2 linked regions of the Saccharomyces cerevisiae S288C genome follow. The protein of the gene in region 1 interacts with the protein of each later gene in a pairwise test. Each region holds a gene or a part of one and is shown in the gene's direction. Other genes may lie near its edges.

The links.
Region 2: the proteins of PEX21 (region 1) and PPA2 interact in a two-hybrid assay, tested with the Saccharomyces cerevisiae proteins (2 studies listed by BioGRID).

Annotation. Positions count from the first base shown.
Region 1 is NC_001139.9:965,436-973,240, reverse strand, and holds PEX21 (Pex21p), read left to right. Parts: upstream 1-3,187; coding exon 3,188-4,054; downstream 4,055-7,805. Other genes in the region: PFK1 (6-phosphofructokinase subunit alpha), read left to right, coding at 1-2,470; KEL2 (Kel2p), read left to right, coding at 4,554-7,202; YGR237C (uncharacterized protein), read left to right, coding at 7,586-7,805. UniProt on the Saccharomyces cerevisiae protein: Receptor that mediates peroxisomal import of proteins containing a C-terminal PTS2-type peroxisomal targeting signal via its interaction with PEX7.
Region 2 is NC_001145.3:797,042-805,037, forward strand, and holds PPA2 (inorganic diphosphatase PPA2), read left to right. Parts: upstream 1-4,730; coding exon 4,731-5,663; downstream 5,664-7,996. Other genes in the region: YMR265C (uncharacterized protein), read right to left, coding at 1-884; RSN1 (Rsn1p), read left to right, coding at 1,477-4,338; U6 snRNP complex subunit PRP24, read right to left, coding at 5,847-7,181; TMA23 (Tma23p), read left to right, coding at 7,415-7,996. UniProt on the Saccharomyces cerevisiae protein: Involved in energy production. Its activity is stimulated by uncouplers of ATP synthesis.

The DNA of each region.
Region 1 (7,805 bases):
TTCCGCTCCAACTTCCAAAGATGCTTTCTTAGAAGCTACCTCCGAAGACGAAATCATCTCTAGAGCTTCTTCCGATGCTTCTGACTTACTAAGACAAACATTGGGCTCTTCTCAAAAGAAGAAGAAGATTGCTGTCATGACTTCTGGTGGTGATTCTCCAGGTATGAATGCCGCTGTTCGTGCCGTTGTTCGTACAGGTATACATTTCGGCTGTGATGTTTTTGCTGTTTACGAAGGTTACGAAGGTTTACTAAGAGGCGGTAAATATTTAAAGAAAATGGCTTGGGAAGATGTCAGAGGTTGGTTAAGTGAAGGTGGTACTTTGATTGGTACTGCTCGTTCTATGGAATTCAGAAAGCGTGAGGGTCGTAGACAAGCTGCAGGCAATTTAATTTCGCAAGGTATTGACGCTTTGGTTGTTTGTGGTGGTGATGGTTCTTTAACCGGTGCTGATCTTTTCAGACACGAATGGCCATCTTTGGTTGATGAATTGGTTGCAGAAGGTAGATTCACTAAAGAAGAAGTCGCCCCATACAAGAATTTGTCCATTGTTGGTCTTGTCGGTTCCATCGATAATGATATGTCTGGTACTGACTCTACCATTGGTGCTTATTCTGCTTTGGAAAGAATCTGTGAAATGGTTGACTACATTGATGCCACCGCTAAATCCCACTCCCGTGCCTTTGTTGTTGAAGTTATGGGTAGACATTGTGGTTGGTTGGCCTTGATGGCTGGTATTGCTACCGGTGCCGATTACATTTTTATTCCAGAAAGAGCTGTTCCTCACGGAAAATGGCAGGACGAATTGAAGGAAGTGTGCCAAAGACACAGAAGTAAGGGTAGAAGAAATAACACAATTATTGTCGCTGAAGGTGCTTTAGATGATCAATTAAACCCTGTTACTGCCAATGACGTCAAAGATGCTTTGATTGAATTGGGTCTAGACACCAAGGTAACCATTCTAGGTCACGTTCAAAGAGGTGGTACAGCTGTTGCTCATGACAGATGGTTAGCTACTCTACAAGGTGTCGATGCTGTTAAGGCCGTTCTGGAATTTACCCCTGAAACTCCTTCTCCATTAATTGGTATTTTAGAAAACAAGATAATTAGAATGCCATTGGTTGAATCTGTGAAGTTGACTAAATCTGTTGCCACTGCCATTGAAAACAAAGATTTCGATAAGGCAATTTCTTTAAGAGACACAGAATTTATTGAACTTTACGAAAACTTCTTATCCACTACCGTTAAAGATGATGGTTCCGAATTATTGCCAGTATCTGACAGACTAAACATTGGTATTGTCCATGTTGGTGCCCCATCTGCTGCTTTGAACGCTGCCACCCGTGCCGCAACTCTATACTGTTTGTCTCACGGCCATAAACCATACGCTATCATGAATGGTTTCAGTGGATTGATTCAAACCGGTGAAGTGAAGGAACTATCATGGATTGATGTCGAAAACTGGCATAACTTGGGTGGTTCCGAAATCGGTACGAACAGATCTGTTGCTTCAGAAGATTTGGGTACCATTGCTTACTACTTCCAAAAGAACAAGCTAGACGGTTTGATTATTCTTGGTGGTTTTGAAGGTTTCAGGTCCTTGAAGCAATTGCGTGACGGTAGAACCCAACACCCAATCTTTAACATTCCAATGTGTTTGATTCCAGCCACTGTTTCTAACAACGTTCCAGGTACTGAATACTCACTTGGTGTTGATACCTGTTTGAACGCATTAGTCAATTACACTGATGACATCAAACAGAGTGCTTCTGCGACAAGAAGAAGAGTCTTCGTCTGTGAAGTCCAAGGTGGTCACTCTGGTTACATCGCTTCTTTCACTGGTTTAATCACTGGTGCTGTTTCAGTGTACACTCCAGAAAAGAAGATCGACTTAGCTTCTATCAGAGAAGATATAACTCTATTAAAAGAGAACTTTCGTCACGACAAAGGTGAAAACAGAAACGGTAAGCTATTGGTTAGAAACGAACAAGCTTCTAGCGTATATAGCACTCAATTGTTGGCTGACATCATCTCTGAAGCAAGCAAGGGTAAGTTTGGTGTTAGAACTGCTATCCCAGGCCATGTTCAACAAGGTGGTGTTCCATCTTCTAAAGACCGTGTCACCGCTTCCAGATTTGCTGTCAAATGTATCAAGTTTATCGAACAATGGAACAAGAAAAATGAAGCTTCTCCAAACACTGACGCTAAGGTTTTGAGATTCAAGTTCGATACTCACGGTGAAAAGGTACCAACTGTTGAGCACGAAGATGACTCTGCTGCTGTTATCTGTGTTAATGGTTCTCACGTTTCCTTCAAGCCAATTGCTAACCTTTGGGAAAACGAAACCAACGTTGAATTAAGAAAGGGTTTTGAAGTTCACTGGGCTGAATACAACAAGATTGGTGACATCCTGTCCGGTAGATTAAAGTTGAGAGCTGAGGTAGCCGCTTTAGCCGCTGAAAACAAATGAATGATTGCAATGAAAAGTTTAAGTTAAGCAAAAGGAGGTAAAAATGGCATGCACTTTAATTTTTATACAATCGTTTTTTTGTCATAAGACTTATTTATGTATCTGTTGTTTTTCTTTTTCTATCCTCTATTTTTGTCTATTTGTCTTTGTTTTACTCTTTTTCATTATTATTTCTTTATATAATTTTTGTACGATATGATACACATAACAATGAGCAATGAACATATTTCTAATCCTAACCATTAGATATACTTTTCAACTGAGGAATAATGGCGCCTTGATTAAACTAAGCTATGGAATTTGCATTATTCAAGTTTTAGGGTGTGCTTAATCTGCGTTGACAATGGTTCACGAAGACGACATCGGCAACTTTGCTGTACTACAAATTGCTCTGAATGTGAGGCTGATCCACATCATAGTGAGGCGCGCTACCTTAATTGTAGTCGTATTGTCATCGGTCTACGAATACCGTTTGGTTTATTTGTCGGCCTTTTTTCTTTCCGTTTCTTTTTATCTTTCCGCTGGAAAAATGGAAACTAGTGCCGATAATCGGAGATGGGATGACTAAATATTTCTTTAAGGCATTGGCAATGTTCAAACCTCTGATAGAACGGCAGATATATATTTAAGAGAATATAGTCAAGGTTGACGCCGCATACTTTGGTTTTGTTTCAAAAAGAAACAGGTGAAAAATTATAAAGACCAAACTAGAATACCATGCCCAGTGTCTGCCATACAAGCCCGATAGAAAAGATTATCCAACAAGGGCATCGCATACAGAATGATTCCTTAATACCGTCAAAACGCACCAAGCTGGCCCATACGGAATTAACAGCACACTATGCCACTGAAGACTCGCATGTGGAAAAACACTTTTTGCATAATGGTAGTAATTTTGACGGCATTGACAATGTAAGGTATCAAAATCAACCCTCTCCATTAACCTTCATTACTCCAAACAACACTGTAGATTCCAGTGATTGGGTTCCGCAGTTCTCGTCTATGAAGATTGACGATTCACTAGAGTTTAGCTCAGAATATAAAAGGTTGTATTCCAATTACGAGTCACAGCAGCGCCTGAATTCAAGCAGACAACACTTACCTTTTAAGAATTGTATGATAAGGAAGACAAGTTGCACTTACCCACCTCAAAAGACGCTTCGACAGCAACGCCAAGGAAACCGGGACAACCCAACGGATGCGTTTCAATTCGACGCGGAGTTCCAAGTTTTGGAGAGAGAAATTCAAAAAGAGCGGTACGAGCCCATAACACGTCGGGACGAGAAATGGTTCGACCAAGATCAGTCGGAACTGCAAAGGATTGCCACAGATATAGTAAAATGCTGTACTCCACCGCCTTCGTCTGCATCCTCCTCTTCTACTCTTTCCTCCTCTGTCGAATCAAAACTATCTGAGTCGAAGTTTATTCAGTTAATGAGAAACATTAGTAGCGGTGACGTGACTTTAAAGAAAAATGCAGATGGAAATTCCGCAAGCGAGTTATTCTCATCCAACAACGGGGAACTGGTCGGAAACAGGCACATTTTCGTCAAGGACGAAATTCACAAAGACATACTTGATTGATATAGGCAGTTTCTACAATTGTACCTCTTGTAACTACTACATACGTTGATATATGTTTACAGATAGCTAAGAATATCAAAATCATGAATATGTGCCCTTATGTGTTCTCTGCGCTGAGGAGTATCGCAGCTTCACTCCTGCAGATGCATGCCCTACCTACTGTCATGCCCATCTCTCTCGTTTAAAACTTACTACACCTTTTTTGTGCATGGATTGTGCTGATGTAAGCTGCACGAAATGACACGCTTGTGAATTTTTTCTTCTCTTGGGAGAAACTGTGAAGAAAAAAAAAAAAGCTTCGCAAAACCCGAATTAGTCTCGAAGGAAGTAATTACCTTGTGAAAGGGTCTTTTGGGATACTAATTTATTATGAAGTTTGGTTTTGGTGTTGCTTGCTCTTTTTTTTTTCAATTTTGAAATGCGTACACGTGAATTTTAGCATAGGTTGTAACAAAAAAAAAAAATGATTTGGATGAGGCAGGCAACCCCTTAAGTAGCTATGGTACCTTTCAAGCTGACAAATAAGGTACCTACGGACACGGGACCTTCTCTGATTTCAGCGCAAAGTGTACCCAGACCAATAGTTTTTATGGATAATCGAAACAATACGCGAATAGTAACACCTACGCTACCTCCAAACCAGCATAGAGGCATATCAGGCGCGTCGACTGCTCTTCCCTGGTCTCCAGAGAGTAAGAATACAGGGAAGTATATTTGGAATAGGGTCAAACTAAAAAACTCTCCGTTTCCCCGTTATCGACACTCTTCCTCATTTATTGTTACGAATGATAACAGGATTTTTGTGACCGGTGGACTTCACGATCAATCGGTATATGGGGATGTCTGGCAAATAGCCGCTAACGCGGATGGTACGAGCTTTACTTCCAAGAGAATCGATATTGATCAAAATACACCTCCCCCAAGAGTGGGACATGCCTCTACTATATGCGGTAATGCCTATGTTGTGTTTGGTGGCGACACACACAAGCTGAATAAGAACGGACTGTTGGATGATGATCTTTATCTTTTCAATATTAATTCTTATAAGTGGACCATACCACAACCTATCGGCCGTAGGCCGTTGGGCAGGTACGGCCATAAAATTTCTATAATTGCTAGCAACCCTATGCAAACTAAACTATATCTTTTTGGCGGACAAGTAGATGAAACTTATTTTAACGATCTGGTCGTCTTTGATTTATCATCATTCCGTAGGCCGAATTCTCATTGGGAATTTTTAGAGCCTGTCGGCGACCTGCCTCCTCCTTTAACAAATCATACAATGGTGGCATATGACAACAAATTATGGGTATTCGGCGGGGAAACTCCCAAGACAATAAGCAATGATACATACCGCTACGATCCAGCACAAAGTGAGTGGTCTAAAGTTAAAACCACAGGAGAAAAGCCTCCGCCAATACAAGAGCATGCTAGTGTGGTGTATAAACATTTAATGTGTGTGTTAGGCGGTAAGGATACCCATAACGCATATTCCAACGATGTCTATTTTTTAAACTTATTATCGCTAAAATGGTATAAGCTTCCCCGTATGAAGGAGGGCATACCTCAAGAACGCTCTGGACATTCTTTAACCTTAATGAAGAATGAGAAGCTTCTTATCATGGGTGGCGACAAAACTGACTATGCCAGCCCAAATATTCACGATCTACAAACTTCAGAAACTGACCAAGGCGAAGGAACTTTACTGTATACCTTAGATTTATCATCTTTGAATGAGCTATGCCCAGGAATAATGTGTGAATCACTACATGCAGGAGAAAGTTTTTCTAATAGTCTTTCCGGGGGCTTTACACCCTCTAAGTCTACCGAAAGTGAAAATCAAGAGATAATAAACATTCTTACACCAAGATTGCCTGATAGCAAAGTTTTGAGTTATAATGATATTGATGAAGGGGCTGGAAGTTACTCCAGCGCTTTGGATGATAAGGCATTTGAACGAAAATCAGATAGGGAGGAAAAGAAACCCCAATCTTCCAAAGTTGATTCAAGCATCAATAAGGAAAGTCCGGGAACTGGTATCAAAGTATCTAAAAAAAATTTCCCTGTTCTACGAGGACTAACAGTGGATTCAGAAGAGTATGGCTCTTCTTCATATAAGGACACATCATGTCAAAAAGGAATTCCCAAAAATCTTTTTGATGATTTAAACCTGAACCTACAAACATTACGTCTCGAAGCTCAACAAAAGGAACTTGAAACTGCTAGACATATTTCACAATTAGAAAAGGAAGTCCAGAGACTCATGGTAATAAAAGAAGCTTCAAAAGATTCAAATTTTCAAACAGCACGGCTTAAAAATCTAGAAATTCAGAAAACCTTTTTAGAATCTAGAATTAATGATTTAAAAAATTTATTGATGGTCAAATTATCTCAGGCAAGTAAACTCTGTGACCAAATTACGATTCAAAATAATGGACTTAAAACATGCTCCGAACATGTCACTATTAAAAGGGATATCATCGATCTTGAGAATAAATGTGATGTTTTGAAGCGCCAGAACGAAATACTTGTAAATAATATGCAAAAAATAACCCCCGAACTTCATACCTATTTGAACGAATCGTCCTGCTATCTGGGTAAATTATTAAAAAGCTATCCTACCAGTGCACGGCCACCTTCAAGTGAGAAAGATAATCAAATATATGAGAAAGATTCGCTGAACAAAATAGAAAAAGTAATAAATGAAATGCACGAAACCGTGCGTGCTAAAGAGAAATTGCACCTTGAAACTCAGAAGCTTAATGATGAAAGAGATTCTTTGCGGGCTAATTTACTCGACAATAACAACAAGTTGGATGCGCTAAGAAAACTCTCTGATGGAAGCTCGAAGTCTATGGACCTAACAAAGAAGGCTATTCACCTATCACAATCCGAGCTCGAAAAATATCGTAAAAACAACGACGATTTACAGAAGGAGATTGATAGAATTAAAACTGAACAAGCTGAACAGGATGACAAGCAGGAACAGCGTGGCGCCATCACTCATGGAAATTTTGATGCGTTCCACAGAATGAAAATCAACAATCTGAAAGCGGAACTGTATATGTCGAAAGAAAATAGAGATTCCCTCAAGGACGAACTGCTAGCTTTAAAAAAAAAACTATATACTCTCGAACAAAAAAAATAGTCATTGGAAGACGTTGTTACGCACTGGGAAGTCAATATGTACAAAGTATATAAAAATATATTTAAACACCTATAAGGACATTGTAAACATTAAGTATTAATAGAAGGAGAATATAATTGCCAACTAAGCCTTTTGAGGTTAATATTCAATGGTGCAAAATTAGTAGCCGCGGTTATTATTATTCGCCGGGTAAAGAGCCCGCTTTTCTAGGGGGATTTTAGGTGAGCATGCCTCTAGAAAGCCAGAAGGACCCTTAACGAAGCGAAACTGTTCAGAAGAATGAATAAAAAGACACATTGAAAAAAAGAATATTGTCGCACTGTACATAAGGGAGAAGCTGTAATCCCTGGCAAACTGCTAATATCTAATAAAAATAATAGAAGATGTCATCTGCAAAGACATTTACTAAGCATATCTCGTTTGATGATCTGGCACCTTCCTTAATTGATGACCAAGCTACCATTATTAAAAATGACAGTCACCATGTTGGCTTGAATAATCATTTTTTACATATACCTCCACAATTTAATCCTGTTTACAAAAATACTTTGACCGGTAGCCATGGCTCTAATGACCTTGCCACTGACGAAAGCTTGGACTCAC
Region 2 (7,996 bases), on another chromosome or scaffold:
CGCCGCTTTAAGTACTTGATGACCTCTATTGATAATAGACGATGAGATGCCGTGCAAAGGATATAACCAATTTGTCTTGGAGTCCGTCTTAAATCAAACTTTTGTGAAGTGCTGAGAGCTTGGCTATTGTTCTTTCGTACCATGTCCATCACCATTTCAAGTTCCTGCTCTCTTGGCAGCGATTTGGTGAATGGTCGTACGGGGATCGCAGACCATTTCAGACGTGGTAGATCCAAAGAATGGAAGAAAGACTTGAATGCATCTATTTGGTGTATTCTATCATCATATATGGACAACTCCCGCAGAGAGGGATAATATTCTAAGAAATCCCGCATCAACTCTTTTTTATATTTGCTAGTGTACTCAGAAATTGCTCTTTTTTTTAGGCAAACTGCATTGAACCTAAACTCATTTTCTGAGCATTTCCAATGGCTCCTTGCCGTCTGTAAAGCATGCTCAATCAACTTATGGAACTTACTTTCCTCTCTGCCCGTTAAAACGATCGAGATAGTATCCTTGGCAGAATATGACTCCTCCGCCAATTTAACGATATCCGCATTCCACGAATACCTTCTCGGTTTAGTCTTCGAGATCTCAATAGCAGCCTGCAGAAACCCCGGCTCATTCCACCAGCCTCCATTCGGTAGCGTGCTCGATGTCAACAAATTTAGTAGCTCACGTGTATACAATTGCTCTGTAGGACCCGGCGTTGCAAATAATGTATTGTCGAAGTCGTATATGTGCAATTTCGTAATCGCATGCTCAGGAACCTCAAAGGGCACGGCCAACTCGCAAGCGCAACTATTCCATTTTCTGAGCACACGGTGATTGCCACATCTGCTGGACATCTCCCCTTTCCTTCGAAATTCTTCAAATTCTTCCATTATACTCGTTTGGGTTATGCAGACAAACAGCACATATGATAATTCATTTTTTTTCTTCCATTATACGCTATAGTAATGTAAGACCTGATCTACGGGTTCGTTTCTTCTATTTCCGTTACCCGCCGTGCACCACAGCATCGCTGCGGTTCCGTCTGCGTGAGTCGTTCTGCGCGAATCACTTCCCGCAGCTGACATCACAGGGGCGGCCTTTCCTGGCTACGATTTTTTAGCGGGAAAGGCACACCCTTTCTTCTCCTTTCGGGTATAAAGTTTCTTCTGTGTGGATTCTGTGGGCCAGCTTCGGTTTTGAAGTTGGAAAAAAATTCTTCATCTTTGTTTTTTTATCGTGGAAAAGGAAGAAAATACTTGATAACCAACAGCAAAGCCGCATGGCTTGGCACTCGATCTTGATGTTGTCCCGTGCCTGGTTGTATAATATTATTATTAATGGCCATTTCGTAATCAAATTTCGGTTTGTTGTTTTTTTCTATTTCTTTTTCATCTTATATATATTAATTCGTTTGCCTTTTCCGTTTCTTTTTGTTTTAGTAATCATAAGTTTACGGCTTAGCAGCAAGGGCAAAGGGACAAAATGAATAGTACTAATAGTACTAATAGTACTACAACAGCTACCAGTACAAACACGTCAACTCAACAAGTCGTTACTTCTTTGGTAAGTAATGGTACTATTTTTGGTGTTTTTGTCATAGCGTTCTTGATTTTGCGTATAAAACTAAAAAGGATTTATGAGCCCAAATCCTCATTCAATCTGATTAATGAAGAAAAAAAGCCAGAACCGCTACCGCAGGGCGTCTGGCAATGGCTGAAGCCGTTATTGAAAAAATCAGACAATTTTGTCATTCAACAAGCCGGTCTGGATGGATATTTCTTTTTGAGGTACCTTTTCATCATTGCAATTTACTGTGCTGTTTCCATGAGTTATATATTCCCTATTTTGTTGTCCATTAACGCCAGTAACGGTAACCATGAAAGCGGATTGAATCAATTGGCCTATCAGAACGTCAAGCACCGTGGTAGATATTTTGCACATGTTTTCTGTGGATGGATTTTCTTTTGGGGGTTCCTTTACATTATTTACAGAGAATTGTATTTTTACACCTCTATGAAGCAAGCTGTACTAGCGTCCCCTCGTTATGCTAAAAAACTATCCTCGAGAACCGTGTTATTCCAGACTGTCCCTAAGCAATACTTAAGTGAAGAAGAGTTTTCTAAGTTGTTTGATGGTGTGAAAAGAGTCTGGATCGCAAGAGGTTCCGGTTCAATTGAAGCAATGGTCAAAGCAAGGGACAATATGGCCATACAATTGGAAGGTGCTGAAACAAAATACCTGAAAGCAGCATTGAAAAAAATTAAGAAGTTAAACAAAAAAAGTCCGCAATTATCTGTCTCTGATAATATTGCTGAATATGTCCCTGACAAGAAAAGACCACATCATAAAATTAACAAGGTTGCTAAATTCTTTTTTGGTAAAAAAGTTGACACCATATCCTACATTAAGGAGGAGTTGCCCAAGTTAAACCAAAAGGTGAAGGCATTACAAGAAGATCATGAAAATTCATCCCCTTTCAACTCCGTTTTTGTGGAGTTTGAATCCCAATATCAGGCCCAAGTTGCCGCTCAGATCACCACATACCATGCTCCTCTTTTCATGACGCCTGTGTATATTGGTATTGAGCCATCCGATGTCGTTTGGTTTAATTTGAGGATGTTCTGGTGGGAAAGATTAGGTAGGGAAGTCAGTGCGGTTTCAGCAATTGTCGCGCTAGTAATATTATGGGCTTTCCCAGTGGCTTTTGTTGGTATGATCTCTAATATTACTTCCTTGACTAATGAAGTTAAATGGTTAAAGTTCATCTATAAATTACCAAAACAACTATTAGGTTTACTGACATCTCTGGCCCCAACTGTGGCATTGGCCGTTTTAATGAGTTTCTTGCCGAAATTTATTAGGGGTATGGCTATCACTCAAGGTGCTCCATCTAAGCAAAATGTGGAATATTTCACTCAACAAGCTTATTTCGCCTTTCAAGTTATCCAAGTCTTTTTAGTTACCACTCTATCCTCCGCCGCCACTTCCACAGTAACGGAAATTGTTAAAGAGCCCACGAAGGCTATGGATCTACTGGCTTCTAATCTGCCAAAAGCTTCTAATTTTTTCATGTCATACGTTATTCTACAAGGTCTGTCCATTTCATCAGGTGCTCTTTTGCAAATTGTTCCACTAATACTCTTTTATGTTTTAGGTGCCTTTTTAGATGGTACCGTTAGGAAGAAATGGAATCGTTTTTGTGGGCTATCCAGTATGCAGTGGGGGACAGCTTTTCCAGTTTATACAAACTTGGCAGTTATTACTTTCTCCTACTCCATCATTTCTCCGTTGATTTTATTATTTGCTGCCGTCGCGTTTTTCCTATTGTATATTGCATATTTATACAATTTGACTTATGTCTATCAGGAATCACCCGACGCAAGGGGTATTTATTATCCAAGAGCTCTTTTCCAAACTATAGTTGGTATCTACATCGGTCAGATATGTCTATTAGGTCTTTTTGCCGTTGGTAAAGGTTGGGGCCCAATCGTTTTACAGGTAATTGGAATTTGTGTTACCGTCCTTATTCATTTACATTTGAGCGCTGCATTTGATCATTTATCAAAGGTTATACCCGTTGATACCATGAAACCGTTAGATGGTGTATCAGATACACCTTCTTTCAAAAATATTTATAAAGGCATAGAAAGTACAAAGGTGAAGAAAAATACTTTTGGTGCAAATATTGACATGGACGGAATCAAAGAATTACCTGAATTTCCAATAAAGAAATATCACAAGAGGAGTGAATCAGTCACTGAGCAACAAGTTGAAAATAGCATATTTAGTGAAAATACATTCGAATATCAATTCAACCCAGCAAATGAAGCCAATGCAGATGGGCACGCTATAAATGCAGAAAATTTAATTGAGGACGTGCCATTATTAGCAGATGGTGATACAATGAAAATTCCTCCGGCTCCATGGTGGAAGAGATTCTTAAAACCTCACATTTACTACTCCTATAAGGCTGTAAAGAGCAGACTGCCAGAAATATATGGTTTGGTTGATCCTGATGAAAGAGTCAATGATTTCGATATCTCTCATGCTTACGATTATCCAGCTGTTAGTGCACAATGCCCCGAATTGTGGATTCCTCGCGATCCTTTTGGATTTTCCAAATTGTTGATTTCAGACGTTTCTGGCGTTGTTGAAATGAACGATGAAAATGCTACCATCGATGAGAATTTGAAATTTACTCTGCGTGACGTACCACCACCATATAATGATGTTAAAGACGAAGCAAATGGTGAAGCAAATGGCGAATTTGACACAGCTAGTAAGGAAAATAATCCATTTGCGGACCCAAAGTATAAGGAAGAAGAGAGTCGTTCGGCAGTCTAAAGGTTAAACATTATCAGAAATTATCTATTCCTATTTGTTTAGCTGTTATCCTCTGATGGTTGAATTGTAATTTTACTAAGAAAAGGAGAGGAAAAGGACGTGCATATATTCTTTTAATACATTTAAAATATGATTCTAATCATTTCTTATATAATAGTGTATAGTCTAATCATTCATCGTGTATAGTAACCCTTTTTGTTTTTTTTTATGCAAAGTTTTTTTGTTTTTGGCAATCTATGAGGTTTGAATATTGGATAAAAGGAACTCCGCACAGTAATACGGAGCAGTCAGCTAATTTAACCAGCACTAATAGGGAGTACATTCAATTGGAAACTTTGATTCGCTTGTATGCGTGAAAAGCAAATTCCCTTCTAGAGAAGTTACTGAAAAACATGAATTTATTACGAATGAATGCTTTAACAAGCAAGGCTAGGTCAATAGAACGGTTAAAACAAACATTGAATATTTTATCCATTCGTAATCATAGACAATTCAGCACCATTCAACAAGGCAGCAAATATACCCTCGGGTTTAAGAAATACTTGACATTATTAAATGGAGAGGTTGGTTCTTTTTTCCATGATGTCCCTTTAGATTTGAATGAACATGAAAAGACCGTAAATATGATTGTTGAAGTACCAAGATGGACAACTGGAAAATTTGAAATATCCAAAGAACTTAGGTTCAATCCGATCGTTCAAGATACGAAGAATGGCAAGCTTAGGTTCGTGAACAATATCTTTCCCTATCACGGCTATATACACAACTATGGTGCTATTCCCCAAACATGGGAAGATCCCACAATTGAACATAAACTGGGGAAGTGTGACGTGGCTTTGAAAGGTGACAATGATCCTCTTGATTGTTGCGAAATCGGTTCGGATGTTTTGGAAATGGGTTCCATTAAAAAGGTCAAGGTATTAGGATCACTCGCTTTAATTGATGATGGAGAATTGGATTGGAAGGTCATAGTGATCGACGTAAATGATCCTTTATCCTCTAAAATAGATGACTTGGAAAAAATTGAGGAGTACTTTCCTGGGATTCTAGATACGACTAGGGAGTGGTTTAGAAAGTATAAAGTTCCAGCAGGGAAGCCATTAAATAGTTTCGCCTTTCATGAACAGTATCAAAATTCCAATAAAACCATCCAAACTATAAAGAAATGTCACAATTCGTGGAAAAACCTCATTTCAGGATCACTCCAGGAGAAGTATGACAACCTGCCTAATACAGAAAGGGCTGGTAATGGTGTCACACTTGAAGATAGTGTTAAACCCCCTTCTCAAATACCGCCTGAGGTGCAAAAATGGTATTACGTTTAATATGAAAATAATACCTTCGAAGAAAATGTTTAGATAAAGGTTCCTTGTATATAATTACGTAATCTCTGCTCTCTCGAATGTTGGCTGCTTGATGTATGTGAACGTTTGGAAAGAAACTTGGGTTTATATTCACTGCTAAAATGACATCCTATTAGAAGTTCGTCTTTCTCCGGTTCGGTTAGTCTACTCACCTAGAAACATCTTGCGAAAATCGTCGTTGGACATCTGCTCTTGTTTGTCAGGAATTTTTTTCTTTACTTGAAGATTTGGTCCTTTTTCCATCATGTTTATACAACTAGGTTTGACGTGTTTCATGCTGTGATTCTGTTGATTGTTATAATATCTTTTCATGTCATTAATAGTACCTGAACGTATCACCTTTCCCTGAAATTGAGATCCATTTAGTATCATTAGCATTTTTGCTGCAAACTTACTATCTCTAAATATAATAATGGCGCCATTGAAGTCGCTAACGAGAAGTATTTTCCTAATATCTTTTTCATTGATGTGTATTTCTTCCTGAAGAAATTGGCAGATTAAGCTTGGTGACACCTTATCTGAAAGTGGAAATAAGCATATTAGTGTTTCTAGTTCTTTGCTGTTACGCGATGCGAGAAGTCTTTTGACTTCGTTTCTTTCTAAGAATGGTTTTTTATCAGCCAAGGAAACGGAAATTTCCCTATTACCTAACAAACTTCTATTCATTTGAAGTGCCCTTTCAGCAGAATCTTTATTTTCAAAAACCATAAATGCACAACAGTTATTGAAACTGTGCTCTTTCTGTCCAGCAGGTATGTTGATTTTTTCAATGGAACCAAATCCCTCAAAAGATTCCCTCAGAAGGTTTTCGTCGAGCAATTCTGTACTTAGGTTTCGTATCATAATCTCTCGCCCCTCTAGTGTGGCAGAATCGGTCCGTTTCGACTTTTCCAGCGGATTGGAAACTTTAGTAACTAAAGTATAACCTTCTATTTTGAGTCCATTCAATTTTTCTACACAATATCTTGCATCCTCTTTAGAAGTAACATCGATGTAAGCGAACCTTCTGCTTGTATTGAATCGTAAACTGGGAAGCCGTATACTGAGTGCAACAACGTTAATATCTTGCAATAGATCTCTAATATTTCTTTGAGTATAACTTGGGGGGAAATTCGTCATCCATAATGTGCATTCTGTTAAATGAGATACTATAATTTCATTCTGACCTACAACTTTGTGTGTTTTGGTTATTGCAGCGAGGGCTCCATCATACCTGGCAAATTCAATACGTGCAAAACGAAAGTTCTTCTTCAGCGAATCCGCAACATCAACGTGTATAATGGGCCCACAATGTTTGAAGTACTTATAGACTTTGTTTTGATTATAGCTCTTAGGCAAATTTTTGACTAATACAGTTGTTAATTCTCTATTTCTTGTTAAAGCTTCGTTCGCCTTCTTAGAAGTTAATCCTGCGGCTGCTGGTGATCCTTCATCCAATGGTCGTTTTGAATCTGGTCTAGCGTGATGTCCATACTCCATTATCACAGATTATGAAGTGAATATGTGGGCTTGTTTATCGCTAATGATTCTCATATAATAAATATAAAGGGTTTTCAATGTTGTAGTAAATCTGCCATTTTGAATAAGTTCCCGCCTGAAAATTTTTTAGCGATGACTTTAAAAAAGACATTGATGCACTCTACAATTCATTGTCATGATGTACATAGAAAATTGAATGATACAAGCGGAAATATTATCAGAATAAATCGGACATGGATAGCAAAGAATATCTGATATCATATGGTTGGAAAGAAGGAGAAGCGTTTAGAGAAGGTGGTTTGAAAAGACCCATACTGGTAAAGCACAAGAGAGATAAGAAGGGATTGGGTAATGCTCCTGGCGGGAATGATGGCGAAGCATGGTGGGAAAGGCTATTTGATGGACATCTGAAGAACCTGGATGTAAGCACTGATTCGAATAATGGCAGTATTAAATTTACTCAAAATGAGGCAGTTGCTACTGCTGTATCGAAAAGTAGCTCACCTCTATACAGGTGGTTTGTAAAGGGAGAAGGGCTGAAAGGAACCATTACTAATCTTGGTAAAAAGGAGGAAGCCAGCTTTGTTGTATCTAGTGCAAGTTCGAGTAAAGGGAAGAAGAGAAGAAGGCGTGATGAAGATGATAACAAGGTCAAGAGAAAAAAATTGAAAAAAGATAAAAAGACTAGTAACGACAGTGAGAGTAAGAAGAAGAAGAAGAAGAAAAGCAAGAAGGAGAGTAAAAAAGGAAAGAAAAGTAAGCATAGCAGCGATGAAGGTGATAAATCGAAGCATAAAAAATCCAAAAAGTCAAAA